Linked DNA regions of Rhinolophus ferrumequinum. The protein of the gene in region 3 interacts with the protein of the main gene of each other region in a pairwise test. Links are inferred from orthologs where the notes say so. Each region holds a gene or a part of one and is shown on either strand. Other genes may lie near its edges.

What was found. The genes of interacting proteins can lie anywhere in the genome.
Region 1: the proteins of TRIM69 (region 3) and NEK8 interact in binary tests that used the Homo sapiens proteins (3 or more experiments, as listed by UniProt). The two-hybrid records come from large-scale screens. The link is inferred for Rhinolophus ferrumequinum from reciprocal best matches to the Homo sapiens genes TRIM69 and NEK8.
Region 2: the proteins of TRIM69 (region 3) and FKBP1B interact in binary tests that used the Homo sapiens proteins (3 or more experiments, as listed by UniProt). The two-hybrid records come from large-scale screens. The link is inferred for Rhinolophus ferrumequinum from reciprocal best matches to the Homo sapiens genes TRIM69 and FKBP1B.
Region 4: the proteins of TRIM69 (region 3) and FAM110A interact in binary tests that used the Homo sapiens proteins (3 or more experiments, as listed by UniProt). The two-hybrid records come from large-scale screens. The link is inferred for Rhinolophus ferrumequinum from reciprocal best matches to the Homo sapiens genes TRIM69 and FAM110A.

What each region holds. Positions count from the first base shown.
Region 1 is NC_046304.1:18,737,020-18,744,799, forward strand, and holds the start of NEK8 (serine/threonine-protein kinase Nek8), read right to left. Parts: upstream 3,018-7,780; 5' UTR 2,982-3,017; coding exon 2,917-2,981; intron 2,682-2,916; exon of another isoform or gene 2,504-2,681; intron 2,481-2,503; exon of another isoform or gene 1,951-2,480; coding exon of another isoform or gene 1,916-1,950; intron 1,087-1,915; coding exon 881-1,086; intron 635-880; coding exon 402-634; intron 179-401; coding exon 47-178; intron 1-46. Other genes in the region: TLCD1 (TLC domain-containing protein 1), read left to right, coding at 5,380-5,573, 5,877-5,959, 6,052-6,134, 6,520-6,903; RPL23A (60S ribosomal protein L23a), read right to left, coding at 7,560-7,574. UniProt on the Homo sapiens protein: Required for renal tubular integrity. May regulate local cytoskeletal structure in kidney tubule epithelial cells. May regulate ciliary biogenesis through targeting of proteins to the cilia.
Region 2 is NC_046296.1:55,718,045-55,725,985, reverse strand, and holds the start of FKBP1B (peptidyl-prolyl cis-trans isomerase FKBP1B), read left to right. Parts: upstream 1-4,924; 5' UTR 4,925-5,182; coding exon 5,183-5,219; intron 5,220-7,941. UniProt on the Homo sapiens protein: Has the potential to contribute to the immunosuppressive and toxic effects of FK506 and rapamycin. PPIases accelerate the folding of proteins. It catalyzes the cis-trans isomerization of proline imidic peptide bonds in oligopeptides.
Region 3 is NC_046289.1:61,413,644-61,421,603, reverse strand, and holds the start of TRIM69 (E3 ubiquitin-protein ligase TRIM69), read left to right. Parts: upstream 1-4,944; 5' UTR 4,945-5,029; coding exon 5,030-5,032; intron 5,033-5,850; coding exon 5,851-5,946; intron 5,947-7,960.
Region 4 is NC_046306.1:23,653,015-23,659,844, forward strand, and holds the start of FAM110A (protein FAM110A), read left to right. Parts: upstream 1-3,813; 5' UTR 3,814-3,940; coding exon 3,941-3,987; intron 3,988-5,418; exon of another isoform or gene 5,419-5,642; intron 5,643-6,830.

The sequences.
Region 1 (7,780 bases), on a different chromosome or scaffold from region 3:
GGGAGACGGAGCTCTCCCAGTCGATTCCTCAGGGGCGCTTACTCACCGCGGCCTCGAAGGCCCTCTTGAGGCTGGCCAGCTCATAGAGGACGCAGCCCAGAGCCCAGATGTCACTCTTCTGGTTGTAGGGCTTGCCCTCACACAGTTCGGGGGAGATGTAGCACGGAGTACCCACCACCTGCAAGAGGGAAGTTAATATTACAGCCCAGGGAGGGAAGACTGAGGCCCACGTGGAGACAGCTTCTCCCCAAAGCAGGCCAAAGTGCTTCCTCTTGCAGGACTACCCAGCCAGGGGCTACGGGCCCGAGGTCTTGGGGGGTGGGGTGAGAGATAGGCTTGCAGAGTGCACCTTGGCCCTCAAAACCTCCAGCACCCCTGAGGTCCCCTCCATGCCCAGGCACCGTGTAGGCCTTGCTCTTGCTGCTAAGGATCTTGGAGATTCCAAAGTCGCCAATTTTAACGACCATGCGGTGTTTGTCGAGAAGGATGTTTTGGGTCTTGAGGTCCCGGTGCAGGATGAGGTGGGTGTGCACATGATGCAGCGCGAGCAGGATCTGAACAAAGAAGTGCAGGATGGTCTCCTCCTCCAGCAAGGAGTTACAGCGCTTTTGGATGAACTCAGCCAGGGTGCCGCCTGCAGCCGCAAGGGACTAGTCAAGATCTAGGCTTTTCCAGGCCTGAGACTTTGCTTTTATAAAACTAAAGACCCAGACAGGGCCAGGGCCTGCCAGCATCACACTACTGGGGTCAGAACTCTACCCCTCTGACCCTCAGCCAAGCCCATTCCAAGGAAGGAAGCTGGCTGGTCTGTATCTGCCGCCTCACAGAGCTGACAGGCCCTTGGAGCCAGGCCGGTGCAAGGGGCCTGAGTCGGGCCCACCTGGTGCGTATTCCATGGCGATCATGAGAGCTTTGTCCTCCAGGAAGTTCTCGTAGTACTCAATGACATTGGGGTGGTTGAGCAGCTTGAGGACCTGGCACTCATTCTGCGCTGCCTGCCGCTCTTCCTTGGTCATCTGCTCCACCGGGATCTGCTTGATGATCACCAGCTTCTGGTCCGCCTTGCGCAGACACAGGTGTACAATCCTGAGGACACAGCGTACAGCAGTGGGTACCATCTGAGCTTCCAGCCACATGTCAGGTTGGGCAGACCTGACGACTGGATGGTGACTAGACTTAAAAGAGAGGGGACTGGCACCCAGACTAAGAGGTCATCTAACTAAGCGCACAGAACCCTGAGTTTCGGAATGGGGAGGACTAACCACAAACTCTGTAAGACCTTGAACAAATCATTTAACTTATTTGAGACTCAGTTTCTCTACAGCCACAATGAGGCAAAGTTAGGATTCATCTTTCTAAATTTCAACTGCCTGGGTTCACATCCTGGCTCTTCCTCTTACTAGTTATCTGGTCTTGGATTACGTGACATCATCATCCGAAAAATAGAACTGACCTCACAGGTTGTTGAGAGGATCAAATATGAAAATGCACGTAAGGCACTTAGCAAAGTGCCTGGCCCATCAAAAGTGCTCAATGAGTGGAAGCCATTCACATTATTATTTTCTTCCAAATCTGTGGTCAGTGTCCATAAAAGCAGGGTTCTTATTCTCCACTATATACCTAGTGCATAGCCTAGGATATGCCCCAGCACATGGCAGGAGCTCAGTAAGTATCTGCTGAATGAACAGACTATAAGATGACCATCTAAGTATCAACTTTGTATCTCTCCAGTTCAGGCCTCTCCTCTGAGCCCGACTCATATATCCAACTACGGTTTTGCATCTCTACCTGAATGGCTCACTAGCATCCTAATTTAACAAATTCAAAATATTAACAAAATTCTTGATTCCTGCCCCCAAAATCTTTCCTTCCTTAGTCTCTTCCATCTCAGCAAATAGTTATTAAAGCCAGACACCTGAAAATCATGGCAGAATCTTTCCTCCATTTCATACTAACACATCAGTAAATCCTGTTTCTACCTCCAAAATATTGTGAACCCATCCATTTTCCTCGGTGTCCTCTGCTATAACCGTTGGCCCAATCATCATTTCTAGCCTAAAATACTGCACTACCTTTCAAAATGGTCACTTTCATTCTTGTCAACCTCAAATCTAAACTCCACACAGCAGCCAGAGTGATATTTTTAAAATGCAAATCATATCAAGACCACATCCTCTGCTCAAACGGTTTTCTTTTACATGGCAAATAAATTCAACCTGAGCCTACAAGGCCAAAATCTGGTCCCTCCCTCACATTTTATAGCATTCTTCAGCTTGCTGGCTACATTCCAACTACACTAGTCTTTTTCTCAGTTCCTTGAATATTCTGAATTTTTTCCCCACGTGAGCATCTTCACTCACATATGCCGTTTCTTCCACCCGAAAAGCTCTGCCTTCACCTGTCTCAAGGGCTGATCCTCATTCCTCAAGCCTTGGCTTTATACCTCACCTCTCGGAGAAATTTCCCTCTACCACCCCAAATAATTATTTCCTTGGTGTTGTACCTTATTCTCGCAGCTTCTTAAATAACGGCTTTAACAGTGTGTTGTTTGTTGTATGTTTTTTCTATAGTCTGTAAGCTCCGAAAGGGAAAAGATCACACCTATTTTGGTCTTAACTGTATACCCATGGCCGAGAGCCTGACATGTAGAGTCGGCGCTCAATACCGGTTATCTGTTGAAGGAATGAGTACGGAATCAAACAGAACTGTGAGGGGCGCAAAGGTTTGCCGGGGTGTGACCTCCTTAGGGGCGGAGTCTCTAGGACTAGGACTGGGACCGGAAGCCTGGGCGGAGCTTCCCAGAGTCGGCATTCACGCCTTGGGGTTGGAGCTAACCCGGCAATAATTTCGCGGACAGAGTTGGGGTTTATTTTCCCTCTCCCCGAGCAATTGCCTCCCCCAAGAGCCCTGGCTCACCCAAAGGCACCTCTCCCCACCACTCGGATCTTCTCGTACTTCTCCATCTCATTTCCCAGTCGCATTTCCGGAACCCCCACACTCAGACGCTGCGCGTGCGCGGACCCGCCCACTCCAGAGCCACGCCCTTACACTGCAAAATAATTGCGGGGCGGAGCAAATGGAGCTGGGTGTTGGTTCAGCCTCGCGTCTCTCTGCTGATTGGCACCGTTCCTACAAACCTGGTCCGAAGGGTCGCTTTTCCAGGGTCCAAGGAAGAAATGGGACGACATGCCATTTCTTGGCGCGCTTCTCAATGGCCTGCACGTAATCAGCCACTTCTCACACCTGTGGCCGCATCCGGCCCTCGCAAAGCTTCATTAGACTGGAGGGGTGCCCTGCGCAGGCCGAGTGAGGGTGGGAAGCAGGGACATCCTTTTTCTGACCCCCGTTTTGGCCACTATTGACGCTGTTTCAGAAAGAGAGAGCAGATTCTCACTGGGATGCAGACTGAACTTGGAGCTTCAGCATCCTCACTCTGTGGGGTAGGGAGCAGGGTTAGTTTCGTATTTGCCTAGGGCGCAACAGGGAAAACCCCGACCTGCGCAAGTTGAATCACCTAGGGAGGATATGATACGGTCTCCAGACTGTCCCGACTAGTGAACACCGCGCTCGTCAGCACACGCAACCCCCAGCTGAACACACACAACCCACCGCGGGGTAATTTCCCTTCTAAGCTCAACTAGGGAGAACCTCCTTAGAGGAAGATGGGAGGAAAGTAGATCACTATCTGAAAGAGGGAGAGGAGGAACGGCAGCCGTTTGGCCGATAAGGGTTCAGGCTTCTGCCCAGAGGTAGGGGGCTAGTTAGTACGAGTGTTTAGGGTCTTGACAAGAAGTGAATTTAATTCCAGGTGTCTCCCTGGTACCTTCTGCTCTGCACGAGTCCACAAAAGCTCAGTTAAGGAGCAAGGGGGTGGTGATTAGCTAAGGGATAGCGTCCCTGTTTCCGAGTGGGTGAGGAATGTGAGGAATGAGGTGTTTATCTTTGCTCCCACCCCACCCTTCGAAAGAGTGCCCAAATCTGCCTATGTGGGATGACCACTAGAAGGGCCTCAGGAGGGCTCCTCGCAGGCTTAGGCCGGTGTTGGCTAGTAGACAAAGCTGCCCTGTGAGCAAAGGGGAGTGCAGAGGGGGAAAGCCGCTCATCCGGGACACTCGTGCTCTCACCTAGAAACCGATTGGGCCTTGGTTGACTCAGGATACCTCACGTGGGTTAATGTGTAACCTGGGAGCCACCAGGGGAGGCTGAGCAAACACCCAAACCTCTTAGTCCCTGGATCTCTGGCGCCTCAGGCTTCTGGCTTTTCCTCCCTCTCAAAGCACCTTTTACCTCGCGCCCCTCCTCCCCCTCCACTCCTCCTCCTCTTCCACTCCCGACTCGGCTCTTAGCCGCTCCGGGGTGCGCTGGCGTATGGCCTGCTAACCCGCAAAAACAACCACCTCATTCCTTTGGAGGCTGGAGGGGAATCCCACGCCACAGTGAGGACAGGCTGACACCTAGTGGCTAGAATATGCCACTACTCCAGGCCACTGGCCTGAAGAGTGAGGGTCACCCTAGCAGCCTGGACAAACGGGCGGTCTTCCTTGCTCCAGCCCTCCAAGGAGCTAGGAGAAGAGAGCTGGGACTGCCTGAGGGAGGATTGTGACAGCAGCTCGGCCCCAGGAGCTCAAGAGCGGGCTGGGAGGAGGGATGGTGATGGGTTAGTCAACAGTTTCTGGGAACCGACTATGTGCCGGGCGCGTAGAGGCAGGTAAGCACGTCCATCTCTAGTCTGAAGACGCTACGGTAGCGATCCAGTGGAAGAACGGGGTCTGGGCAGAAATTGTTGTCGGAGGCCGGGCTCCGATACGTCCCCAGGATCTGGGTTTAAAAGACGTGGGTGTGTGACGAATCCTGCCCAGCTCTGCCCAGAAAGGAGTTGAGGGCGGAGAGAGTTCTCGCAGTACCCGCCCAGGCGGGGGAGCCGGTGGCCCCGGGGAAAGAGGGGACGCGGGTTAATGAGGCCAAGCGAACCAGAGAGTCGGCAGTCGGGAGGCGCCAGCGAGGGGTACCTCCGTGGCGGTGCCCCAGGACTGCCCCCTTTCGCCCGAAGTCTGCGGGAGCCAGGCAAGACGCGGGAGGCCCCCCCCCCCGCCCCGGGAAATGGGGCTCGCGCCCTCCACGCAGCAAAGGCGCCCGAGGGGCGGGGGCAAGCGGACTGGGCGGGGCGGGGGCGCGGGCGACTAGGGGCGGGGGCAGAGGCCCTCTGGGAGGGAACGGGAGGAGCAAAGGGGCCTAGAGGGCTCCGCGAAAAACTGTGAGAGGCTGGCGGCCGGCGGGATAGGCGACCGGGGTGGACTGGCCCGAGAGGGAGCCCAGTTCCCCGTACAGCCCGAGGAGGCCGCCTAGAGGGCGGACAGACCGACGGCTGGGAGGGCCAGCATGCCCCCATTGCTACACCCCGCCCTGCCGCTGCTCCTCGGCGCCACGCTGACCTTCCGGGCGCTCCGGCGCGCGCTCTCTCGCCTGCCTCTCCCGGCGCACGTGCAAGCCGACCCTCTGCGCACCTGGCGTTGGCACAACCTGCTCGTCTCCTTCGCCCATTCCATTGTGTCAGGGATCTGGGCACTGCTGTGGTGAGTGAAGGACCGGGGTAGTGAAAGTGGCTAGGGGATCCCGCCGTTACTCTCCCCATCACGGGGGGCTGAGGTTATGCAGTCTCACATGATTACTTGTAACCAATCGGGAACTGCTTCGGCCCCAGGGGAAGAGGATCTCACCTGGGAAACGGGAGACACCTGGGTTTCAGCCAAACCCCTCCTCGGTTCCCAGTCCATAGTGGGAGCCCAGAACTCTCCTGGGACTGGCTTGGGTAATTGTGAGTTGAGGGTCCTTGGGAATGGGAAGATGAGTGGCTGCCTTCTTCCCTCCCTCCCCAGTGTATGGCAGACCCCCGAAATGCTGGTGGAGATTGAGACGGCATGGTCGCTTTCTGGCTATCTGCTCGTTTGCTTCTCCACAGGTAAGTCTTGCCCAATAAGTATTAAGAAGGTGGAGAACAGGGAGAAACTCCTTAAATCCCCTTCCTGACCTCTTCCCCCATCCCTCCACTAGGGTATTTCATCCACGACACAGTGGACATTGTGGTTAGTCGTCAGGCTCGAGCTTCTTGGGAATACCTCGTCCATCATGTCATGGTGAGAAGCAGGGGGTGTGGTATAGGTCTGGTGCTAGCAACTTCAGTCTCAGCTGTCTTGCTGAAACTGGGAAGGGGAAGACCAGCTTTTCTTAACCCCATTCCCATGGTGTCCTTTGCCTTCCCATGCTAGGATACTAAGGGTTGGCCCTACCTTTGTACCCTTGGTTCACTATCTTGAGGCCAGCAATCCATAGCCTCACCTAGTACCTCCTTAGACGATAAACTCCACGCAGGGATCAAAATTTAATGGTAGATTCACTCAATTGTATGCCAGCAGATGGGAAGGTTTTCTAGCCCTGTTTGGTAACCTTGATACTCCCACCAACTTCCAGTAAAGCCTTAGGGAATCTGTTTCCTAATCTGTTCTCTCCTTTGCCCTCTAGGCCATGGGTGCCTTTTTTTCAGGCATCTTTTGGAGCAAGTTTGTAGGTGGGGGCGTCCTCACGCTGCTGGTGGAGGTCAGCAACATCTTCCTCACCATCCGAATGATGATGAAGATCAACAATGCCCAGGACCTCCTCCTTTACCGGATCAACAAGTATGTCAACTTGGTCATGTATTTTCTCTTCCGCCTGGCCCCTCAGGCCTACCTCACCTATTTTTTCCTGCAATATGCAGGCCAGAGGACCCAGGGCACCTTTCTGCTGGGTATCCTGCTCATGCTGGACATTATGATTCTCATCTATTTTTCCCGCCTCCTCCGCTCTGATTTCTGCCCTGACCGTGTACCCAGCCAACAACACAAAGACAAATTCTTGACGGAGTAAGAGGCACAGAGCCTGGGACTTGTGGCAAGGACAAAAAACACAATCAAGGGAGAACAGCCCCACACATAAACTGAGATGAGCCCCAAACCTGGGGCATCCAGCCTCTCCACCTGTCAAGCCTGCACCCACTATTGAAAACACTAATGAAAACACTCTGAAGTCCTTGTCCTTTCTTGGGCAAGGGGTGAGCGAAGCAGACAGACCGGTTGGACATGGTAGGTGGGTGTGGGGACAAGGTGCTACGTGAGAGCCAGCCAACCCACACTGCCCTGAAATGGATGCTAATAAACTCTTGGTATTGGTTTCATACAAAGCCTCTTCGCCAGAGATAAAGTTAAGGGTTCTTATAAAACTTCTTGCTTGTTCTCTTACCCCTGTGATGGAGAGAAGTACTAGTTGTCTCAGGACAATCCTAGACTGAGTCACAAATATCTCCTATCTGAGCTCCCACCCACCAGGATTATAGCAAGTATAGTGCCATGATAGAGCTAAGTGTTCCAACAGGGTTATGTACACCAAGAGTCTTGTGTAAACCCTGTGTATTGTGTACAAGTATACCCAAGTATGGCCTCCCCCCAGCACAACCAGAAATCAACATAAAGAGACAAATATACAGTGAAAAAGTTTGTATTTAGAATTTGCCAGCTGGACTCAGTTTAGATGATCCCAATCTGAAAAACAAAAGGGAGCTTTGTTACTAGGAGTTGAAATGTGAAGATTAAGCTGGAATGTCATGGTTAAAAAGCAAAATGTGGGCACAGGGCAGGGCCTATTAAGGATAGGAGAGCAGTCTGTCAGTTATGACTAATCAGCAAAAGTCAGGCTTTGGTCGGAAACAGACACACCATGTGCAGCCAGCGGGTGGGTATTAAGGAGT
Region 2 (7,941 bases), on a different chromosome or scaffold from region 3:
TTTCCTCTTACCCTATGCCAACCTCTCTTTACCACCCCCTACCACCCCCCAAAGCTCAAGTTCATGACAATAGCACTGTTAACAATTTGGTGTGCAGCCTTTGAAACTGTTAGAGAAACCGTTTCAAAACAGACACACACACACAAAAAGGATTTTATATATGCTAAATTTTTTCCTTTAAACAAAAAATGGGGTATAAGTCAGAGTTCCTGGGTATTAACAACAGAAACCACTCTGGCTAACTGAAGCAAAAAAAGAAGTCTCAAGAACCAAGCTCAGAAAACCAGCAGGACTGCAGTGAGGCGATAAACCACTGTGGCCTCTCTCCACTCATCAGCAGGGGAGACTCTAATTTCACTGACCCCTCACTTGATGGCAATTGCTTAAAATTCAGAAAGTGGGGAAGCCTCCCACCACCTGAGACCAGCTCACATACCCTCTGCTTTAGCAGCCAGGAGGGGGACAAGGGAGGGTTTCCCCCTCCCTGTAATAGGCTTCTGTAATAGGGGATGTGTTCTGCCTCCCACCAAGACTCACACAAAAGGAGAGTCTCCCCAAATTTCGAAGGTGTTTTCAAAAAATGACCGATTACCACAGGGATCATATGTTACATATTATTCACTAATTTATTTTAAATCATATGCACCTTTCCACGTCAGTAATATAGATCGGCCTCAATCTTTTAAGTAGCTGCATTAGTAGCAACAAGGTGTCCCATAGTATGTATGTATCATAATGTATTCAATGATTGGTCCCTTTTCTTCTCTCTTTCCTGTATCCTGCACATTGTCACATGAATGAGTGCTGGCTACACACATACTATGGGCTCTGCTTGTATCCAATTTTTATCTAGATGTGGATAGAGCCAAAAAGTTTAGTACTCAATTCTCATCACTTTTCTCTTTTCCTTCCTTCCAATGTCACCTACTTTCATGTTTTCAATTGTCATCTATGTTTATTTCTCTCAGATCTGCATCTCTCCTCCTGGCTTCTTTGCTGAACTACACCACTATTCAAATATATGTTAGGCTTTACATTATAGCTGATATTAGCCCTGTCCATATTCATTACAAACTTAACATACCTCTTTGCTAGCTTTGTCCCTGCTCTTGGAATCTTTCACTATGAAGAACGGTCTGCTATGCTCCTGAACAAAATGTCTGATTAACTGGTTCTCTACTGGCTTGCAAATGCAGAAATACGTCCCCTGTCATTACTAATGAAGAAAAGTGCCATCTCTATCCCACTGGTCTTATATTAGATAATATATGGTTTCCCCTAATATCTACCTATGTACTTTTGAAAGACTTTCATTGCTAAATAATGCATGATACATTTTCATGGGTGGAGAAAATTCCTAATGCACTAATTATATCAAAGGCATCTTACATGTGTTAAGCCACCCAAGTCAGGCTAATGTCACTGAGGGTGTGTACGGCCAGGGATAGCATAGGATAAGGATTTACGAATAAGGGAAAAACAAATATAAGGTTACTGGAGTTTTAGAAGAATTTTAGTATTTTCATCTTTAGTAACAAGAAATTTGGCATATTTTTCTCAAAAACTTAATGATAATTACAACAATTTGCTCTGATCCTTTCTCCTCCATTGCTGGTCCAGGTTCTGACCACCTCTCCCTTATGGTAGGACCAGGAGAGGTCCTCTTGATACCAGTCTCTTCTTTCCCACAGAGCCTGGATACTATGCATGGTTGGACAGAATTATCTTTGAAAAGATACCACAGTTCTGGTCATTTTGTTGTTCCGCTCAAATACTTTTGGATGAGCTTCCACAGTCTACCTATAAAAAATTCTTTCAAAACGTCTTAACAAGGCATTTAAGGCCTTATGTTATCTGATATTGACATACATTTCCAACCTTATCTCCCTGATCATACAGGGACTGCTGGGAAATTTGGGGGAACCAGCACACATACATGTGACAATGTGCAGGACAGACCTAAGAAAGAAGAAAAGCAACAACTTTAATAAGGGGGCATGAAACAGTTTGATGGTCATAATAAGAAAGTGAGCCAGGTTTGTAGATACTTGAGTAGAGAAAGAAGGCCAGATTCAAGAGCTATTCTATTTCTAAGGCAAATGGAATAATGATATCGAGTAGGACGAGAGTAATGAGGAAGACAAATTAAGGATGACACCCAAATTTTTTTCATGGGAAACTGTTAAACCATTTACAGCTTAACAGTTATACAAGGCAACACATGCTTCAAAGGTAAGAAGGATGTGTAGTGTGTGATACATTTATTAGATGTGCTTCACTTAAAATGTCTATAGGGTAAGAAGGTACCTTAGGCAGTCAGAGGTCAAGGATTTAGAAATTAAAGCCAAAGGAGTGGACAGCCTCACTGTGAAAGATCACAGAGCCAAGAGGAGAAAGGTTGAAATGACCTTTAGGTCTCCAATTATTTTGTATCTTTAAAAATATTTACATTTTGCCCCAAGCTAAGAGTATACCTGTTGGTCTCTGAACCCTTAGACTTTAAGAAAACTTAAATCAGGAGCCGTAGGTGTTTTAGGGAGAGAAAAGCCCACTCAGTTCAGGGGAGAGGTGACCAGAACCAAGACCTGGTGCTTAGTCTATGATCATTTAATTCCTCTATTTTGAATCTTCTTTAAAAACTCATGGTGAGAATCAAGGAACTTAGGTGAATTGGAGCACTCTCAGTAGCTTTAAACAGAGGTACGTACCCCCCAACTTGCTTGTCTAAGTTTATTGTGTTTCCACTGTAAAATAATTACAAGTTCTTTACATTTACTTTAAAAAACTAACACACAAGAAAGGTTAAAAACCATCTATCCAAAGATGGTTTGACTACATCCCCTCAGACTTTTTTCTATGCACTTTTGGTTAAGCTTTTTAAATTACACCGTACAATTTCATATCACGATTTTTTCACTTAACATTGTATATTAGCATTTTCCCGTATTATTTAAAAGTTTTGTAAATTATTTTTAGGGGTCACTTAATATTCATTGAAGTTACATTATTTTGCCTTACTGTTAAGACATCTGGTTGTAGCCAACTTTATCCTATTATGAATAACGCTGTGATACAGGTCTTTATGCATAATGCATTTCCTTCATGTTGGATAGCTTCCTTAGAATATGTTCCTAGAAGTGCCACTCATGAGTCACAGGGAATATATTGAGTCGTTTAAACCCACCCAGGCTCCTCCGCACCCGCCAACCCTCGCACGCAGGCCCCTCATCATTCTTCCGTACTCTCCGCACACCTGGGTGTCTCCCATCCTTCCCCCAAGTGCCGGTCCCTCCACCTGCCTCCCCGCTCACCCACAGACTTCCTACACCCGCCAGGCTGGGCAGCAGTGGGGACAAAATAGCTTTGGTCTTACGGCCTCACCGAAAATCACACTCCCCGGAAAACGCCCAGACTCACCCACTTCGGATCCGAAGTCCACACCAGGTACCGGAAGCATCGACTCCAAGGCCTCTGATAGGTCAGCGGTGGTCGGGACAGCTCGGCAATGCGCTCTATCTATTGGCTTTTGCCATGTCACGTTAGGAGAGGGTCCGTCCCACCGGCGAATAAGCTCGGGCTTTGCCGCACAGATCTCTGGGAGTTGTAGTCCCCATGAAACTCCACCGACCGTAAGCCAGCCACAATTTCTCCTTTAAGAGGTTTAGCATTTCCCCGACTTCTCATTGGTTCTCTTATTCTAAGAAGGAGTACAGGAGCCCTAGAGTCAACACGGTTTCTTAACCCTTTTTTGAGGGGAGGAGGAGTCGGGGATGGGAAGGAGTCGAGGACCTCTTTAAAATACAAAATTTCCTCAGAAAAATGTTCTTATCTGTACACAAAGTATTGTGCATTCAACTGAAGCCACTCCATTGACCTGTCCCGGTTACACACCCCTGTTCTACACGTACCCCCAAAGTGCCTGCCCATGCCCATAGCCCATGGACTAGTGGGTCACTAGGCTTCTTAAGAGCAAGTTACACTCCTACGAGACTCCGAGCCACGCCTTGGAGCAGCCCATGGGGAATTTCAGGTCCTGACCCTCATAATACAGTTGATCATCATCTTTCTTGGACAACACAGCCAATCCCCCTTCAGCGATGCTGATAACCTGAAGTCTCTGACCTAACCACCTGGGAGAGTTGTGGTAGGGAAATGGGACGAACACCTTTAGGGTCTACTCTGGACATCTTTGCTCGACTTTTCTGCTCATGCCTACCTTCCAGGGGCACTTGTTAGAATCATACCTTCACACAATGCAGGGGAGGATTAGAAAAGAAAAAAAAATGTAAAGAAGAAATTTAAAGTCCCATTCATTCTTCAAGCAAATGCTACTTCCTCCAAAACTCTTTACAGATTCCTGGATCTCTTTTGAGTGGAGGAGGAACTCAAGGTGGCACTCATGCATTCATCCCACAGCAGAATTACTCCTTGTAGTAACTGTGTCCCTCTCCATCACAGATTTGGTTCCTTGAGGATAGTGATTCTGTCTTAATTCAACTGGTATCCCCAGGGTGCAGTTCTTTGCCTTGAAGGTGGGAACGCACCTGTGCAAGCGGCAGAGCTACCTGGGATGGTGCATAAAGGCTTATAGTGGGTGGAGAAGGGTCAGCAATGACCCTTTCTTCCCTCCCACCCCACCCCTCCCCATCTCCCAGCTTGCTCCTGCAGATCTGGGCAGCCCAGCCAAAGCAGGTACCTCTCTGGTGCTTCCATAACGTTCTGAACCTCATGGCAGTGAGAACATCTCATTAAAGAGTTGGTTTAGTTGCTGGCCTTCCCCTAGTCTGTGAGACCGCGTGGATTCCCCAGAGAAGATAAATAAGGGTTGAACAGATGGATAGATGGGTGAGTGGGTGCATGCGCGAGTGTCTGCATTCCTCCCTCAACATTCTCCCCAATCAGTGGGTCAATGATCTTCAGCCTGGTCAGGCTCCGGAGCAGCCGCTTCAGGCCAGGGTCCCTTCCCCAGGGCCCCGCCCCGGCCGCCCCCACCTTTCCGTGCTGCTCCGCCCCGTCGCCCCCTTCCCCGTGGCCCCACCCCGCGCAGGTCCCGACTCCCGCCGCACCTCCTCCGGCTCTGCAGTGGCGGCGGGGAGACGAGTCGGAGCGCCAGCGGGGCCGGAGCCAAACCGGGGTCGCGGCAGAAGCGGGGACCCTCGGAGGCGGGGCCAGGGGGACTGCGATGGGCGTGGAGATCGAGACCATCTCCCCAGGAGACGGTACCGGGCGGCGGAGCCGGGGGAGAGGAGGGGTCTCGGGGGTGAGGAGGACGAGGGGCGGGGGTCTGATTCGGAGGTGGCGCGGAGGATGCCCGAAGAGAGGGGCGGGCGTAGGATGGGGGCGGCGGCAGGAGACCCCAGACGGAATCGCTGGAGGTCTAGGAGACGATCCTCCGCCCTCCCCTCCGCGTCGGCTTACCTAGGGGAACGGAGGCGGCGGCCAGGAGGTGGGGGTCTGCGGCTCGCCACCGCCCCGGGGGCCGCGGGCTGCCGCTGCGGCGGCTGGAACCGCTCAGTTATCCGCTACCGCTGATTTCCCAGGGCCAGGTTTTACCTCCGCTTTCCCTGCACTGCTATGTGAGCTCAAGAAACACAGGAAAGGACATGCTTTGGGGGTCTCTTCTGCTCGGGACCACCCCCTTCTAACGCGCCCCCCGCTAGGCTGGAGGTCGGGCGGCCGCCTGCGGGCTGGGCGATGAGACTCGGTGGGGATCGAGATAGTCTAGGAAAGGAGCTGCGTTCCCCCCGCCTCTGCATCTCGTTTTATCCTCCCCGCCCAACTCATCCTCTCTGGCCATCCTGTCCACTTCACTCTCATCATGGCTTTCAGTATCGTCTGCAAACCGATGGCCTTCAAACTTAAGCCTCCAGCCCAGACCTCTGAGCTGAGTTCCGGGTGGTCCATCTGTCCTACTGCTGCTCAACCTCTACCTGGACGTGCCACCGATACCTCAGTCAGCAAGTCCCAAACAGAACTCTGTGTTCCCGGTTCCCTGCCTCCAGGACTGGCACCACTCATTTCCCAAGCCAGACACCCCAGGCGTCACCCTTGTATAATTGGGTGTGGGTGTGCAAGGAATAGCTATGTCTTTATTTGTTAAACAGAACTTAATTCAGACTGGAGCCCCTATTTCTGCAGGATTTGACAGGCAAACTTCACGTCAGAGATTACTGACACTCCCCGCCCCCGCCCCCGGAAATTACTTCCAGACCACTCCTTATAGAAAGGCAGCGGTCCCTAGAAGCCCCAGCACCACACAGGATCATCCGTAGGGTACAGCTTCTTTGCCCACGCTGGCAACCATGGTGCTGAGTCCGGAAACATATCCCTGAGAACTTGTCACCCTCCCAGGGAACTGCCATACAGGTCTGAGGGGGCGGTGGGGGGTAATGGAGATCTCTTCTCTTTTCTCTGGCTCAAAGAAGCCTTTAGAATTTTCTCTCCTATTTTTCCCTCCCTGGCCAGGGACAAGGGGCGTTTCCCCTTGAGGAGGATTCGATTTTTAGCGAAAGTCTGGAGGAGCTGTGGCCTTCTGCTTTCTGCCTGGTTTAAACCCCTGAGTCAGGGAAGCACAAAAAGGTCAGACAACTGTGCTGTAACCCAGGAGAGCAATATGCAGGTGAATATGTCAACACGTACGCTGCCGGGGTGGGGACACCTGTCTTGGTCACGCCCCACACCAAGTCCTGTCCAGTCCTGCTGAATCTCTCCAGGCACCATCCCCTGCCTTTTTTCAGGCCCCCATCATCTCTCACCTGGCTTTCTGCACAGCCTCTAGTCTGGTCTCCCCACCTCACCTTCACTCATATTCACAGCCTGAGGACTCTTTCAAATGCCTTTTTGACCATGTCCCTCCCCAGGCGTCAACTATTTTAATGAGTCTTTCATCTCCTTCTCCAGGCAGATGGTGACGTCACCTATTTCCTAACTTCCACACTACATCCTCATCTCTCACTTCCAGTCCCTACCCCCACTACCAACGTTTTCTTCAGCTTTAGCAAGCTGCCTGTAAGTGGTTAAACTCACCAGTCATTCAGCAAATATTTATTGAACATGTACTGCGTGCTGGGCCCTAAGGTTACAGCAGTGAATCAGACAGGGCTCCCACTATGCTTGACTCTAGGCCTTTGAACATGTTGTTCACTGTTCCCACATTATCTCCCTTTACTTCCTTTGGCAAGCTACTCATCTTTCAAGACCCTGGTTTCACCATGATCTCCTCTCTCATGCTGTCCCTGACACCCACAGGTAGTTGCTCCCTCCTGCAGGTTCCCATGGAGTCCCCTAAGTGTTGGCTCAGTTGTTAGCCCTCCCAAGGCACTGTTATCCAGCCCCAGGGCTTTAAATTCCACCCAGATTTATACCTCCAGTGCAGACTCTCTATCTGCCTATTTGCAGTGTAAACTCAGATGTCTAATAGGCATCTCAAGATTGCCCCCCGCACAAAGCTGTTCCTTCCATCTCAGGAATTCACTCCACCATCCAACCAGGCACCTAAACTAGAAACCCACGCATTGTGCTTGATTTCTTCTCTCTCATTCTGGACCCCGTGTCCACTCCATTAGCATACCCTGTCAGCTCCACTTCCAAAATATATCTCCAATCTCGTTTGCTCTCTTCTCTGCTGCCACCACGTTAATTCAAACCATCATTGATTTCCTGTCTGGAATACTGCAACAGGCGCCTGGCTGTCCACCCTCCACACAGCAGCCAGAGTGATCTTATAAAATCTTAATTCAGATTATGTCATTCTCACTTAAAACTCTCCAGTGGCTTCCTATTGCACTTAGAATTAAATCCAGTTCTGCAAGGCCCGGCATGGTCCTCTCTTTCCCACTCATCTGCTCTTCCTTCCCTTCTTTCCAGTCAGCTGGCCCCCCTTCTAGTCTACAAATGCACTGATCCTTTCCTGCCTCATGGTTTGTGCGCTTGCTGCTCCCT
Region 3 (7,960 bases):
GGAGTGGTAAAGAGAGATAACCAAGAACCTTAACTATTTTGATCTGGGGGTCTGAGTGAAAAATAAGTTTAAGAGTCTACCTGGAGAATTTTTAACCATACGCTTGCCTTCACACAAGGTTAGGCTTAAAATATGTAATTCCTCTATGATCTGGAGACTTGAAACCAATAATATTGACATAAAATGGTGAAGCGTGGGTAGTAACTTGTATCTCCAAGAATAAACACAAATATTCCCTGGAGGGACACATCTTTAATCTAGGCTAAATAGAAAATAGAAAAGATTTATAAACTAAATTACACTAAAATTAAGAACTTCTCTTTATGGGAAGACACTATAATGGGAGTGAAAAGACAAGCCATACACTAAGAGATGGGAGAAGATATTTATATCAAAATAACCAAAACAGAACTATTGTCTGGAATATATAGAGAACTACTTTGAATCAAAAAGAAAAAGACAGGGGCCGGCCCGGTGGCTCAGGCGGTTAGAGCTCCATGCTCCTAACCCTGAAGGCTGCCGGTTCGATTCCCACATGGGCCAGTGGGCTCTCAACCAAAAGGTTGCCAGTTCAACTCCTCGAGTCCCGCAAGGGATGGTGGGCTCCGCCCCCTGCAACTAAGATTGAACATGGCACCTTGAGCTGAGCTGCCTCCCGGATGGCTCAGTTGGTTGGAGCGCATCCTCTCAACCACAAGGTTGCCGGTTGGACTCCTGCAAGTGATGGTGGGCTATGCCCCCTGCAACTAGAAACGGCAACTGGACCTGGAGCTGAGCTGCACCCTCCACAACTAAGATTGAAAGGACAACAACTTGATTTGGAAAAAAGTCCTGGAAGTACACACTGTTCCCCAATAAAGTCCTGTTCCCCTTCCCCAATAAAATCTTAAAAAAAAAAAAAAGACAACTCATTATAAAAATGAACAACGGGCTTAAACAGACATTTCTTCTTTAACAAAAGAGGATCCACAAACATGTGAAAAAAATCTTCAAGTGCATTAATAATCGGAGAAATGCAAATTAAAAAAGGCTGTATTGAAATACCATTACACATCTGCTTGTTTGGCAAAAATTAGAAAATATGACAAGAATAAGTGTTGGTGAGGATGTAGAGCAACCAAAATTCTCATCTTCGACTAGTAGAGTGTAAATTGCTACATTCATTTTGGCAAACAGTTTCATATTTTCTAGTAAAGGTGAACAGGTGTATATCTCATGATCTAGCTGTTCTATTTCTTGGTAGAGACCCTAGAGAAACTCTTACACACATTCACAAAAAGATACATACAAGAATGTTATTAAAAGCATTGTGTGTGACATGGATGGATCTTGAGATTATAATGCTAAGTGAAATAAGTTAGACAGAAAAAGTAGAGAACCATAAGATTTCACTGACGTGGTATATACAACTGAAAACAACAAAAGAACAAGAAAAACAAATGAAAAAACAAAACTCATAGACACAGACAATAGTTTAGTGGTTACCAGAGGGTAAGAGGGGAGGGGGGTGGGAGATGAGGGTAAAGGGGATCAAATATATGGTGAGGGAAGGAGAACTGACTCTGGGTGGTGAACACACAATGTGACAGATAGATGATGTATTACAGAATTGTATACCTGAAATCTATGTAACTTTGCTAACCATTGTCACCCAAAAACTTGAATTAAAAAAAAAAAAAAGCATTGTGTGTAATGGTCAGAAAAATTGAAACAAATATCCACGAACAGTAGACTGGATATATACATTGTAGCATATCAAACAATGAAATACCATATATAATTGAAAAGGAACAGCCACATGGGTTCTCCACGGATTAATCTTACAAACATAATATTAAGAGAAAGAAACAAATTACAGGAAAATACATGCAGTATGATTCCACGTACATACAGTTCAAAACAGAAAAAAACCCAAAACACTATATTGTTTAGGGATACAATCACAGATGGTAAAATAATAAAGAAAAGTGTAGGAATGTTTAACTCAAAAGGCAGGATATTTGCTCTCTATGAGAAGTGAGACACATGCAATTGGGAAGAACACACAGGGGCCATTTAAGGTATTGGTAGTTAGTGTTTTATTTCTTAACTTGGGTGGTAATTACAAAGTGTTACTTTGTTATTATTACTTAAAATGTATACAAATGTTTTGTACACTTTTATTATGCATGAGTATGAATAATATATCTCATAATAAAAAGACAATAAGAGAATGCAGCTTTACATTCACAAACTTAGGCAAAATATATTCCTAGAAAAACATAAATGACCATAACTGTCTCAGGAAAATATAGAATATCTAAATAAACTTATAACTATTCAAGAAGTAAATCAGTACTTCCAAATAAAACAAGATTTAAAAACAAAACATTAATCCCAGAGGTTTTGCTGGTGATACTTAAAGAAAAGATAATTCTATTTTTTACACAAATTCAGAGAAGAGAAAAAGAAGGCACATTCCTCCCATTATTTTTATGTAACTAGTATAACTTAGGTTAAAAAAAAAAAACACAGACAAAGATAGTTTAAGGAAAAAAAATAAAAAGCTATCTTCTACGTATGTAAAATAAAAAACATTCTTGTATGTATCTTTTATGAACATAAAGGTTGAATCCCAAATAAAATATTACCAAACCAAATCCAGCAATATGTGAATAAGATAATATATCATGATCAAGATGGAATAATTCCAGGAAAGAAAGGATGGCTTAACAATAAATAACCTAGAAATAACATTAAATAACCTAGAAAAATTCTTGCATATATACCAGGAAACACGTGGAAGAATGTTCATAGTAGCATTGGTTGTATGGCAAAACACCAAAACAACCAATTGGTTATCAACAGTAAAATGGATAAATACATTTTCATCAGTAAAATGTTATTTAGCAATGAAAGTGGATGAACTTCAGCTATGTTCATCAATATAGATGAATCTCAAAACTCATGGTGAGCAAAGAAAGCAAGGCACAAATACATAAAATATGATTTTTGTTTACATAAACATCAAAACAAAGGCGGAAAAAGAAATGATTAACAGAATTCAAGATAGTGATTGTCTCAGGAGTAGGGGAAGGGGCAGTTAGGTGGTAGGGAGTACATGGAAGACTTACGGGGTAGCTGGCAAGGTTCTATCTCCTTTCATGGTTGTTCATCATTAATAATTCAATAGTCTATACACTTTTTTCATGCTGCTTTCTGCATTTGCATTATGCTTAAAAATAAAAAAAGTTCAAATAATAATTTAAAAAACTTGTGTTCACTAAAAGATATCACTAAGTAAGTGAAAAGGCAATCCACAGAGTGGAAATACATATTTGCAATATGTGTACCTGATAAAGAACTCATATCTAGAATAAGTGAAGAACTCCTGTGAATAAAGACAACTCAACAATAAAATATACGCCTTGTATGGGCACTTCACAAGAGGGGAAATGCAAATGGACAATTAATATATGAAAATGGTCCCAATATTCATAGTCATCTGACAAATGCAGATTAAAGCCACAATGCAATCCTACTGCATACCCACCAGGATGGCTAAATGAATATACTTATACTAAGTGTTGACAAACATATGGCACAACACTGGTGGTATTGTAAATTGATATGACCACTTAGAAAAAGTTTGGCAATATCTACTAAACTGAATATATGCTAATCCTATGACCCACTCCTAGTTATACACCCAAGAGAAGTGTGTGTGTGTGTGTGTGTGTGTGTGTGTGTGTGTGTGTGTGTGTATTCACCAAAGAATATAAACAGGAATATTCCTAGCAACACTATTTGTAAGTCCCAAACTAGTAAATACCCAAAAGTATATCAACAGTAGAATGGAAAAATAAATGATGGTATATTTACACATTTATACTATACAGCAATAAGGATGAATGGACTGCAATTACATAGAACAATACGGATGAATCTCACAACTGTAATGTTGAACAAAAGAAGCCAGCAACAAAAGAGTACATATTGCATGGTTGCATTTATATAAAATTCAAAAACAGGCAAAATTAATGTATAGTATTGGAAATCATTGAGCTGTATAATTAAGCAATAATTAAGATTCCGTATTTTTCTGTATATATGTTATTTGTGTAATGTGTTTTTTACAAAGGAGGGGGGAGGACCTGGATGATTTTATAGTTGGGGATATTGTGCCATTGACTGAGGAATCTGATTGATCTTCCAATTCTTTGTACATGAATTCCAGAAAATAAAGTCAAACACAAAGGTAGTAGTAACTAGGAGAACAGAAGTTGAAAGCAAAACTTGCAACTGACACATGGGGAAAGGGGTGGAGGGATGGATGTACAACAAAATACATTTCTTTGGTTGAGTACTCTGTTAAAGTTTAAATAGTGTCGGGAGTAATAAGAAACGATGATGTTAGAAAGCACTGAATTTATTGGATCAATTTCAAAGAAGAGATTATGGTGCTTCTACTTTGGCTGCACCAATTCTCAGCTCCTTTAGGAATGGAGCCCACTAACCTGAAGTGCTGAAACGGACAGCTAGAAAGAGAACTTATTTTAGCTGTTGTTTTCCAAAGGTATCTCCCAAACCCTCCGCAAACATTGACCCAGGCAACCACATTGAAGTGAATGATTTGATCACCCAGATACCCTCTAAAGTGCAGATACAAGATATTACTACGGAGCTACACTGTCCTCTGTGTAATGACTGGTTCCAGGATCCACTGATGCTAACCTGTGGCCACAACTTCTGCCAGGCCTGCATTCAAAACTTTTGGAAGCAGCAAGCAAAGGAAACATTCTGTCCTGAATGTAAGATGATATGTCAATATAGCAACTGTACATTCAACCTTGCACTGGAGAAGCTGGCAGAGAAGATGAAGAAGCTACCCCTACTCAAGGGCCATCCACAGTGCCCAGAGCATGGAGAGAACCTGAAACTGTTCAGTAAGCCAGATGGGAAACTGATCTGCTTCCAGTGCAAAGATGTTAGGTTGTCTGTGGGGCAGTCTAAAGAGTTCCTGCAGATCTCTGATGCTGTTTGTTTCTTCATGGTGAGTGAGCCCTGGGCTTTGAACAATCCCTTAGGGAAGCTGGGGGGAGGGGAATATTCTTTCTTCCAGTCCCACCCCTTTATTCAGATGATTATTAGAAAGCTCAGAGTGCTCAGAAAATACAACGTATCTTGCAATGTTCTTTCTCTAGAATTGCTGATTGTAGGAGAGGAGCAGTGGAGGACCTGTGGCCTACTCCTTCAATCAATCAAATATTTACTTAAACCTTGCCGTGACAGCACTCTGCTAGACTAGACACTGTGTAGAATATGGACATATAAGATATTGTTCTGGTTCTAAAAGTCTTGAGATTTAGTCAAAATGAATAACACAATGGAAGTAATATAAGATAGTCTACAATTGAGAGCATAATTTTGTCACATTAGTAATTCATAAATGTTTAGAATTTCAGAAAAGATTGGAGAAAACTGAAATAGTCAGAGGATGTATGGTGAAAAAGTTTGAACTGGGAAATAATTTGGATTTGGATGGGCAAAAGGAAGAAATAAGTGCTCTAAATGAAAACAATGTAAGTGAAGGTATTGTGAGAACAGTCTAACTAGGGTAGAAAATATATAGAGTTCTCTTGCCTTTCTCAAACCCCTGTAGTTAACTAAGAAGGTAAAACAAACTAAATGTTTCTGCTGCTTGTAATTTTCTTCACAATTCTTGGAAGAGACAGGAACTGTGATACAGGGGAAAGGAAAGACTTTTGCAGCAAGAGTTGGCTTTTTTTCTGACACTGGGGCTTTGGGGGAGATATCTCTTATGGCCCTTCTCCCAAGTCAGTGTGGGTTAATTCCACGTGGTATTCCCAGGAGGAGCTTACCATCTACCAGGGTCAACTGGAGGCAACCCTGAAGGAACTTCAGGCCCTGAGGAACATGCAGAAAGATGCTATTGCTGCTTACAAGGTGAGGTGCAGGGCAGAGGGGTGATGAGATTGAACTTGAATATAGCCTCCTTGTAACTAGCTATTTGGGTCAAAGGGTACCTATACTATGTTATCAGTACACTAAATGATAACTGGGCGATAGAATTAAAAACCAGGCACAGGAGGGTGGAAAGGAATGTAGCAGAGGAGTCAGTTTCCAATAGTTGATCTACAGAGTGAGCGGACTGGCCTTTGCCCTAATATGCTGATCCTTTTGATGGTTCAGTCACTAGGTATTGGGGTTGTGATCTGTCTGGTCTTTCCTTTAATCTATGGCAAAATGAGGAATTCATCTATGGCAAATCCACTAAAGATAGCTCTGTCCAAAGAAATACCTTTCTTTTCTTTGGGTTTGCAACCAGGCTACCTCAGAACCAAGGTCTCTCAGATTGCTGGTTTTTCCCATCAGATTTGATCTTTCCTAACTTCCTCCAAATGTAATAACACGACTGCCTATACTTTCAACTTCACAGGAACTATAGGACAACATTAATGGTTAGAGACTTGGCAAATCTGTCCCTAGGGTGGGGGGAGTTTTATTGCTTCGTTCATTATTCTATGGACGGGAGTATTCGCTGGCATTTGGCATCTGAAAGAAGAAATATATACAGTGAGAGGAAGAAGAAGGATAGAGGGAAATAATGATGCCTCCAAAGAATCTTGTTCCTGTTTTAAGGGTTCCTAGTTCAGCTATTAAAGTTAACATTCATTCATTCAAAAATATTTACTGAGTGGGTCAAGCATTACACTAGATACTATATTCCACTAGGTTGGGAGACAGAAGTTAAGTAACCCCTCCAACAACAATAAAATAACAACTGTGATAATTACTATAAATGAAAATACAAGGTGCTATGAGAGCATATAAGCGGGGAACCGAACCTAGACTGGGGGAGTTCTCTGAAGAAGTCACCTACTAATAATTGAGAATTGAAGGATAGGTAACTTAGCTAAGTGAACTGGGTGAGGGGAATATGAAGGACGGGTTCTGAAGAAGAATGTTCGATGAAGAGTAAAGAGCATATGGAAAAGTCCTGAGAAAGGAAGTTAGTTGCTGTGTTAAACAGAGAGAAAGCCAATACAACTGGATCCAGGTAGGCGAGATGGGATTGAAGAGGCAGATATGGGCCCAAACACGTAGGCTCTTGGAGATAATGTTAGAAATGTTGAACTTCACCCTGTAAATAATTAGAAGCCATTAAGAGGTTTAAACAAGACATAGCTTCATCTTATTTTGAAAATATCAGTCTGGTGGCTCTGCAGAGAATGAACTGAGCGAGCCGAGGACATGGATAATGGGGAGAAGGCTACGGCAGTGGTCCCAGAGAATGATGGAGAGGCAGTGGGCGGGGGGGGGGAGAGAAATGAACAGCGTCAGCATATGCTGTGGAGATAAAAAATAACCTGGATGTGGTGATTCATTGGATGTGGGGGCGAGTGGAGATGCCACACAGACAGTTGGACATAGGAATCTGGAACTTAGAAGTTGATGTAGGCTGGAAAGAGGACGTCCGCATATAGATGGTACGTAAAGCTGTGGTAAAACAGGAAACCACCTTGAAAGAGTGCAGAACAAGAAGGGAAGAGAGCCCAGGACAGAGAATATCAAGTAACTCTAATATTTAGAGCTTGGTTAGGGGAGTCAGAACCAACAAATAAGTCTGAGAAATAGTGGTGAAATAGGTAGAAGGAAAATTGGAAACGTGTGAGCTAGAGAAAAGAGAGAGTTAAAGACTATTTGATGAGCGCAATTATAATGATGGACTATAGAATCCAAGCTGGGTAAGAGGGGACATGGAGACAGAAGAAGTTGAAGGAACAGAAATGGAGGGGTCAATATATAGGAGGTTTCAATGAGACCCCAAAATTGTTGCAACAGGGGTATCTGAGTGAGTATAAAGTTATTTTTGGAGATGGTGCAATTGCTGGGTATGATAAAATCCTCATTGTAACCAAGAGAATGAGTAATAAAGGTGGAAATCACTAGAAATGAG
Region 4 (6,830 bases), on a different chromosome or scaffold from region 3:
GTACCACGCCGCGCCTCTGAAAGCCCCTCGGGAGGAGAGGACTGGGGGCCACGTATGGGAGACAATCTGTGGGCTCTTTCTCAGTTCTGTCATCAAGTGTTAACTGAGTGCCTGCTGTATGCACTGGGGCGTGGGAAATGGAGCCGGCCAATCCCACCTATCCCTAACGTGCTCATTGTCACTTGTGTGGGGAGAGAGGACCTGTAAATAGACAATTTGATATGACAGGAGAAATCCAGGACACTGTGGGAGCACAGAAAAAGGTCCCGCAGCTCAGCTGAGGAGGGGACAGGGAAGGCTCTTGGGAAGAAACTTGCACAGGACACAGGGGAGTGAGCCAGGAGAGGAAAGTGCAGGAAGAGCATTGCAGGCAGAGGGCACCGGAGGCAGTAACGGGTTGGTGGTGGGGGGGGCAGCTCCAAGAAGCTGGATATTGCTGGGGTGGCTGCATAGGGTAGGGAGAGGAGGCGTGGGGGCTGCACGGGCTGTTCGTACTTGCAGACCCAGGGAAAAGCCCCAAGTCTGAATATCTACCTCCCTAAGGAGAGGGAGGGAACGACCGAAGAAGGAGGCTGGCCACTCCAGTTTGGTTATTAATAGAGTTTATTTAGGGAAAGTTACATGACAGACATGTCTTGGATGGCTGCAAGATGAACTGGATCTCCGCCTAAAGGGGGCAATAGTCACGGGTTCGAGTACGTGACTTCTGCCAGGGAAGGAAATTACGTGTTTGACCAGGTCAGGACAACAACCTGTTCCAGGAAACAGCACATAGTAGGGGATGTCAGAATGAACATCAATTATGATCAGATTGTCTTTAAGAGGGGTTTGCAGAAAGCAACCTCCATTCTGGGCAGGGTCCAGCTTTCAGGACAGCCAGTGGTCACATCACAGAACAGTCTCTCCTCCAGATGCTGGGCTCTCACGGTGCTCCTGAGCTGAGCCCTCCCCTGCTGTGTCTCCTGGCTGCATGCTTCTTCCTGGAAATTCAGGAGGAGTGGGCCCCATAATCTCTAGTTTTCAGCAATTACATCTTGGGCCTTGTGGTTGCTCTGATCCTGCTGGTTTAGAATCAAATTCTTTATAAGGACTGAAACCCAGGAACCCCCCTGGGTAGTGTATATGGGGCACCTTCTTGCGTCCACTCAAAGTGAGTGTCCATTGTACAGATGGAAAAATTGAGGCTCAGAGATAAGAAGGGCCTGGCCCAGGGCCACACAGCCTGGCAACTGGGGGGTGACTCACAGTGTGACTGAGCTGGCAGAGTATGTCCTCAAATCTGGAATATGACCATAGTAAACTGGCCTAATTCTTTGGCAGGGGGAACCTGGCCCTCTGGAGGCATTGAGGTGGTTTGAGAGTCATGTACTGTGGAGAACTGGTGACTAAAGACCGTTCCCGTGTTTGGGCAGTCTGGTCCGAGTGGAAGCACCTGTGTTTTAAAGGGGGTGCTAGCAGAGGAGGAAGTGTCCCTTGTCACATCATGGAGACCCACTCTCTGGAAACAGTGTTTTCACTGTTTCTGTGAGCTGTTTAGTAAGTGTTGTGAGGACACAGGGCTTCAGGGTTGAACATGTTTCGGAGACAGTGGAGAAAGCAAAGAGAAAGAGCCATAAGGCGCTGAGGGTAAGTCAGGGTGTGGTGCCTCTCACAAACCTGGGAAGTAATCATGGGTAAATCCCATTTTACAGGTGAGGAAACTGAGGCCCAGAAAGATGTGCTTGTGTCTACATAGTAGGTCTCAAAAATATTTCTGGAACAAATAAATGAATTGGGAACAAATGAATGAATTGGGAGATATATTAAAAAAATCTTTCCCTATCACTTAATATTTTTCAAAAACATAATTTTTAATGGCTGTATGGTATTCCATTCCAGTGGCATTCACCATTCCCATTGTCCTGTGGCCAGGAAATTAGGTTGTGGTTGTTTCCCTTTTTTTTTTTTAACTATTAATAGCAATGCTATAGTAAATAATCTTGTTAAATCTTTCTGAATCTCCTCCGTTATATAGTTAGGGTCAATTTCTAAAAGTACAGTTGCTAGATCGAAGTACAGGCCTACTGATACAGCACAAAATTTCTCAAAACTTTTTGAGAAATGTGACTATGTTGCCCTCCTGAAAGGACATCTGTAATGCAGGGACTCAGCTCCCACTCCCCGCACAAGAACACAGGATATGGTGAGGCCAAAAAGGAACAACAACGGAGCCATGGATAGGGGAGTCATGCCACTATATTCTCGATGATGGCTGGTCAAGACACAAAAGCAAACATCCACCAGTACCTAGATGAGGGGTCCTCCTGCACCCCAGTCTCGCTGGCGGCCCGGCGAGACATAGGAAGTAGGATCAACACAACCTGCAATCCACAATCTGCTTGCTAACCGCACTTGCTAGCAGCAATCTGCTGTCTGCTTCTCTGCCAACCAACCAACCCCCCTAGAGTAGCCACGGCAGTTGTATTAGTGGCTAATGGCTAACCGGTAACAGCTGATGGCCACCCAGCCACAGCGGATGGCCATCTGATTACAGCTGATGGCCATCTAATAACCGAGCCAGCACCTTTCCACGTGAGGCCAAGCGCCTGGAAATTGCTCTCTGGGACTCTGTCCCCACAACATTCCAGTTGACCTCCTCACCTGCCGTGTTTGGAGGGACATAGTTGGGCTGAGATGTCTTTTAATTCACGCCCTTATTTTGTTCTCTCATAGAATATCCTTAAAAATGTTATTTTTTAAAAATAGATCGTACATTAAGGTACAGAATCCAAACTGTATAAAAAATATTTTCTAAAAAGCTTTTCTTCTTTGCTTGTGCCCTAGTCAGCCCAGTAGCCACCACTAGGACCAGTTTCTGGTAGATCCTTCGAGAAAAGTTCAGATGCAAGCAAATACACATAGAGAGAACATCCTTTAAATTAACTGAAATAAAACAACATACAGCCATGGGGTGCATAGAAGATAGGGAGCTGACATCTGAGGCTGATTTCCTCTCGGTTTTGAACTGAGTGGAGAAAATACTGCCAAGGTCAGGATACTGGAGGAGGCACTGAAACAGCCTCAGGCCTGTCTACAGGGCAGGATGTTATTGTCGCTCACATGCTGAGTCAGGATGTGGTCATAGGATCGTCAGCTCCCTCTGATCTGGGCACACTAATGACAGCTTGTCCACCTTCTTATTCTTATGGGCTCTTCCTCCCCACCCCTACACTGCGGGGAAGGGGCAGGCCTGGAATGTTCTCAATCACTCTGAATTCGTAACAAGTACTCAACAAATCATTGAAGACAGGAGACATCACCAATATGCTGTTGGCAGGTGAAGATGCTCAGAGTTCTAGAATCTGAGTGTGCCCAAATGACCTCTCTTCATGTGGCCTCATTTGGAGTCCAAGGGAAGTTCCTTCTGCCCTCTGTTTGTCTCACTTTCTTAATCTGGAATGAGGCTCAGCATTTTTATGTTGTTTTGTTTTAAGCTCCAGGGCACACAGGGCAAAGGCAAGCTTTGAAGCTGTATGGGTCAGCAGGCCCTTTACCCAGGCATCTCAAGTATCTCCCAACCCCTGATTACAGGTGTAGATCACAGAGAAGAATCTAACCACTGCACCAATGTCGTCATTCCTGACACAAACACTGAGAAGCTGAGGTCTGGGAGGCACCCTAGCAGTGTGTTCACATGGTCATATGCCTTTGTAAAATCTGCCAAATCAAGACATTTTAACCTCACTCTGATAAAACTACCATCTCCTTCCACTCTTACTTCCCCTTGTGTCAGATGATGATGGAGCGAGGGCTAGCTAGCATTTTGGAGATCTGGGTCAGAGGATTCTGAGGTTTAGTCAAGGTATAGGAATGGCTTCCCGAGATACACCTACTTAGCTCACCGAGCTTACTCCGCTGGCACTGTGACAAGAAGGTGTAGAGGCATATCCGACATGTACGAATGGTCTTACTTGTTCATGGAAAGTCTGATGGAGGTATGTCAAACAGGTAATTCATAAAAGTAATGTTCTTTTTCTGGATTTTGTAATCTTTGTGGAACTTATCATTTGTTGTGGTTTCTTTGATCTTTCTAACCAAATAATCAGTTTATTACCTAATTTTATAGTTCCTTTCTTAAGTAAGTCTCCCTAAATTGTATAAGCCTCAGGAAATACAAAGTTGGCATCTGCCCCTGCTGAGTTTTATCTGTGTCTTTTAGGATCACAGGATCCTCCCTGCCTTTCCTTACTGCCAAACAAATCTTGCACATTTACACGCCAGACTGCACAGTCATTGTTAGCTATTGATATATTACTCGTCCTCCTCCTGCATTTGTCCAAGGCATGTACACAGTAAGTGCTCAATCATCGGCAATCCAATCCAATCCAATAATTTGAAAGACACTAGCTGGAATAGAAAACAGAGGCTGGTTGTAAATTGAGCAATGCCCTAGACCCAAACAGTGACTCAGCAATGAAATGTCCTCATTTCGAAGAGCCCTTCGAGTTAGTTTATTCTAATCCTCTTAAAAAATGTTTTTTTTTTTTCTTGGCATGTTTAAATATTGGAAAAAATCCATAAAAGCACAATGAAAAAATTAACTGCTGTTATTATAAATGATTATACATATGTACATATGGTATTATGACTGTGTTTAATACATATTTATGTTGTACACAGTACTTTGAGACATACTTTTAAAAAACCTAATATTTCCGTAGCATTTCACCCATACTTTAAATATCTTTTAACTATATAATTTTTAATGGCTTCATAATATTCTTCGTCAGAAAATGGGGATAATTAAAGGTATCCATCTCAAAGGGTTATGCCATGAACACTGACAAGGGTTATATCATGAAAATGATATTTTTTACTTGGCATGTAAAAAGCTCAGTAAACCTAGCTCTTCCCCAGAATGGTTTTATGTAACCAATCCCCTTTCGCTAAGCATTGAGGTTATTTCCATTATTTTGCTATGATAAATAACGCTGGGTTATAGTAATCTTTGCTCATATCTTCGATCATTTCCTTAGTAAATTTCGGGAGTGCTGGATTTTAAAACCAACCTATTTATTGGAAGTGAGAGGGAAAAGGGCTTCCCTGGGCACATACAACGAGTTAGCTGGAAAACCGGGAATAGGAAACACCCGGGGACCCTAAAGTGAGCCTCATCCAGCTGGGGACCGGGAGAAAGTCCTATCTGAGCAACTAGGCATCGGGACTACAGTGCCCGCCGGAAGAACAGGAGGCCAGCGCAAAGGCGCAGGGAGGGGCGGATGCCCAGGCGCAGCGCTCACCTCCGGAAACGAAGCTAAACGGTCGCCTGGCAACCCGGGCGGCGCGGCGTTCGAACGGAAGCGAGGAACCAATCAGGATGTCCGGGGCAAACCATTCCGGTGATAGGGGGGAGGAACGTCATGCCTACTTCCCCTTCCTCTGCGCTGCAGGACCTTCGCTCCGGTGGAGGCCTTAGGACACTCAGATTCCCCCCGCTCAAATCGGGTGCGGAGAGCATCTCGGAACAGTTCCCTGCGGGCTCCCACGTGAGGCTGGGCCCCCCGAGCTGCTTTGGTCACAGCCATTCCCCGCCGGGGTCTGAGCTGTCAGCCTCTCCAAGAACCGCAGTGAAGGAGCCGGGACTCGCCTATAGCCGGCTCCAGGTGAGGGCGCGGGTGGTTTGGGGCGCGAGCCTGGGCCTGGGGGTGGGGGTGGGGCGGTTCCTTTCATCGAGCGCCTTCTGTGTGCGTCCTCTTGGCGTTGTACCTGTGGGAGGCAGTGGTACCTCATTTCACAGATGACACCGCTGAGGATTAGAAGGACAAGTGTCCTAGCCTGGCGAGGTCTTGCAGAGAATCCAATTCAGGTCTTTCTGCTCTACCTCGCGGTCTCTAATCTAGGTAGATCTAAATTTGCCGCAGAGGCCCAGATGGGCAACTGGTGGTCACTTTTTCAGCCTCTTAGCAGCAGGGACACAGCCCCGTGGAGCCTTGGCTGGATCACCTCCCTCCTCCCTCTCCCCCACACCGTCCTCCGGGTGTTCTTCTGGGCGTCTGTCTGATCTTCTCCAGAACTCCACGGGTTAGACTTAGGGCTCATTTGGGATCCTTCTGCCCACGGGGTTCTGAGGGCTTCTCTGGGGGGATCGGGCTGGACTGACATTTCTGGGCTAGATGCCAAGTGGGCAACAGGTGTTGTGACCTTGGAGTCGCTGTTGGACTCTTGGGAATCTGGTCCAGGTTGGGGGAAAAGACAGAGGCAGCCCTTCATCGGAAGCCACTAGTCACGGGAGCCACAGGAGACTTTGGAGTAGGGGGTGGGTCCGGGGCCCCTCCTGGTGGAGCGTCTGACCTAGACCAGGCCCTGCCTCCTGGTGACCCCTGGTCCCCCAAGCTATTATTGTTGGTTTCTTTTTTTTGGTGGGGAAACTGAGGTTCTAAGAAGATAAGATCCTTGCCTGAAGTCACACAGTCGACTTGGCACCGCTGGGGTTGGCTCCCAATCAGTCTGGCTTCAATACTAGACGCTCAGAACCATAGCATCTGAGAGTCTTGAATTTCTTCAAGGGGGGGTTACTTATCCTCTATCCTCGGAACCCCTCCTGACTCTGGAGAGAGGAACTCTGGGAAATCAGAAAGAAAACAAGTCTTTCATTCATTCTTTCCACAAATATTTATCGCTTTCGTATGTCTTGCCCTCCCCCTTGTCTATTCTGTTTTTCTCAGTGGCATTTACCCCATTTGTATATTTTACTTTTTAGTGAGTTTATTATCTTCCTCAACTGGCATGTGATGCAAGGAGAGGCTAGGATGAGGTAAGTGAGGTACTCACCTCCATTGTAAAATTGAGGG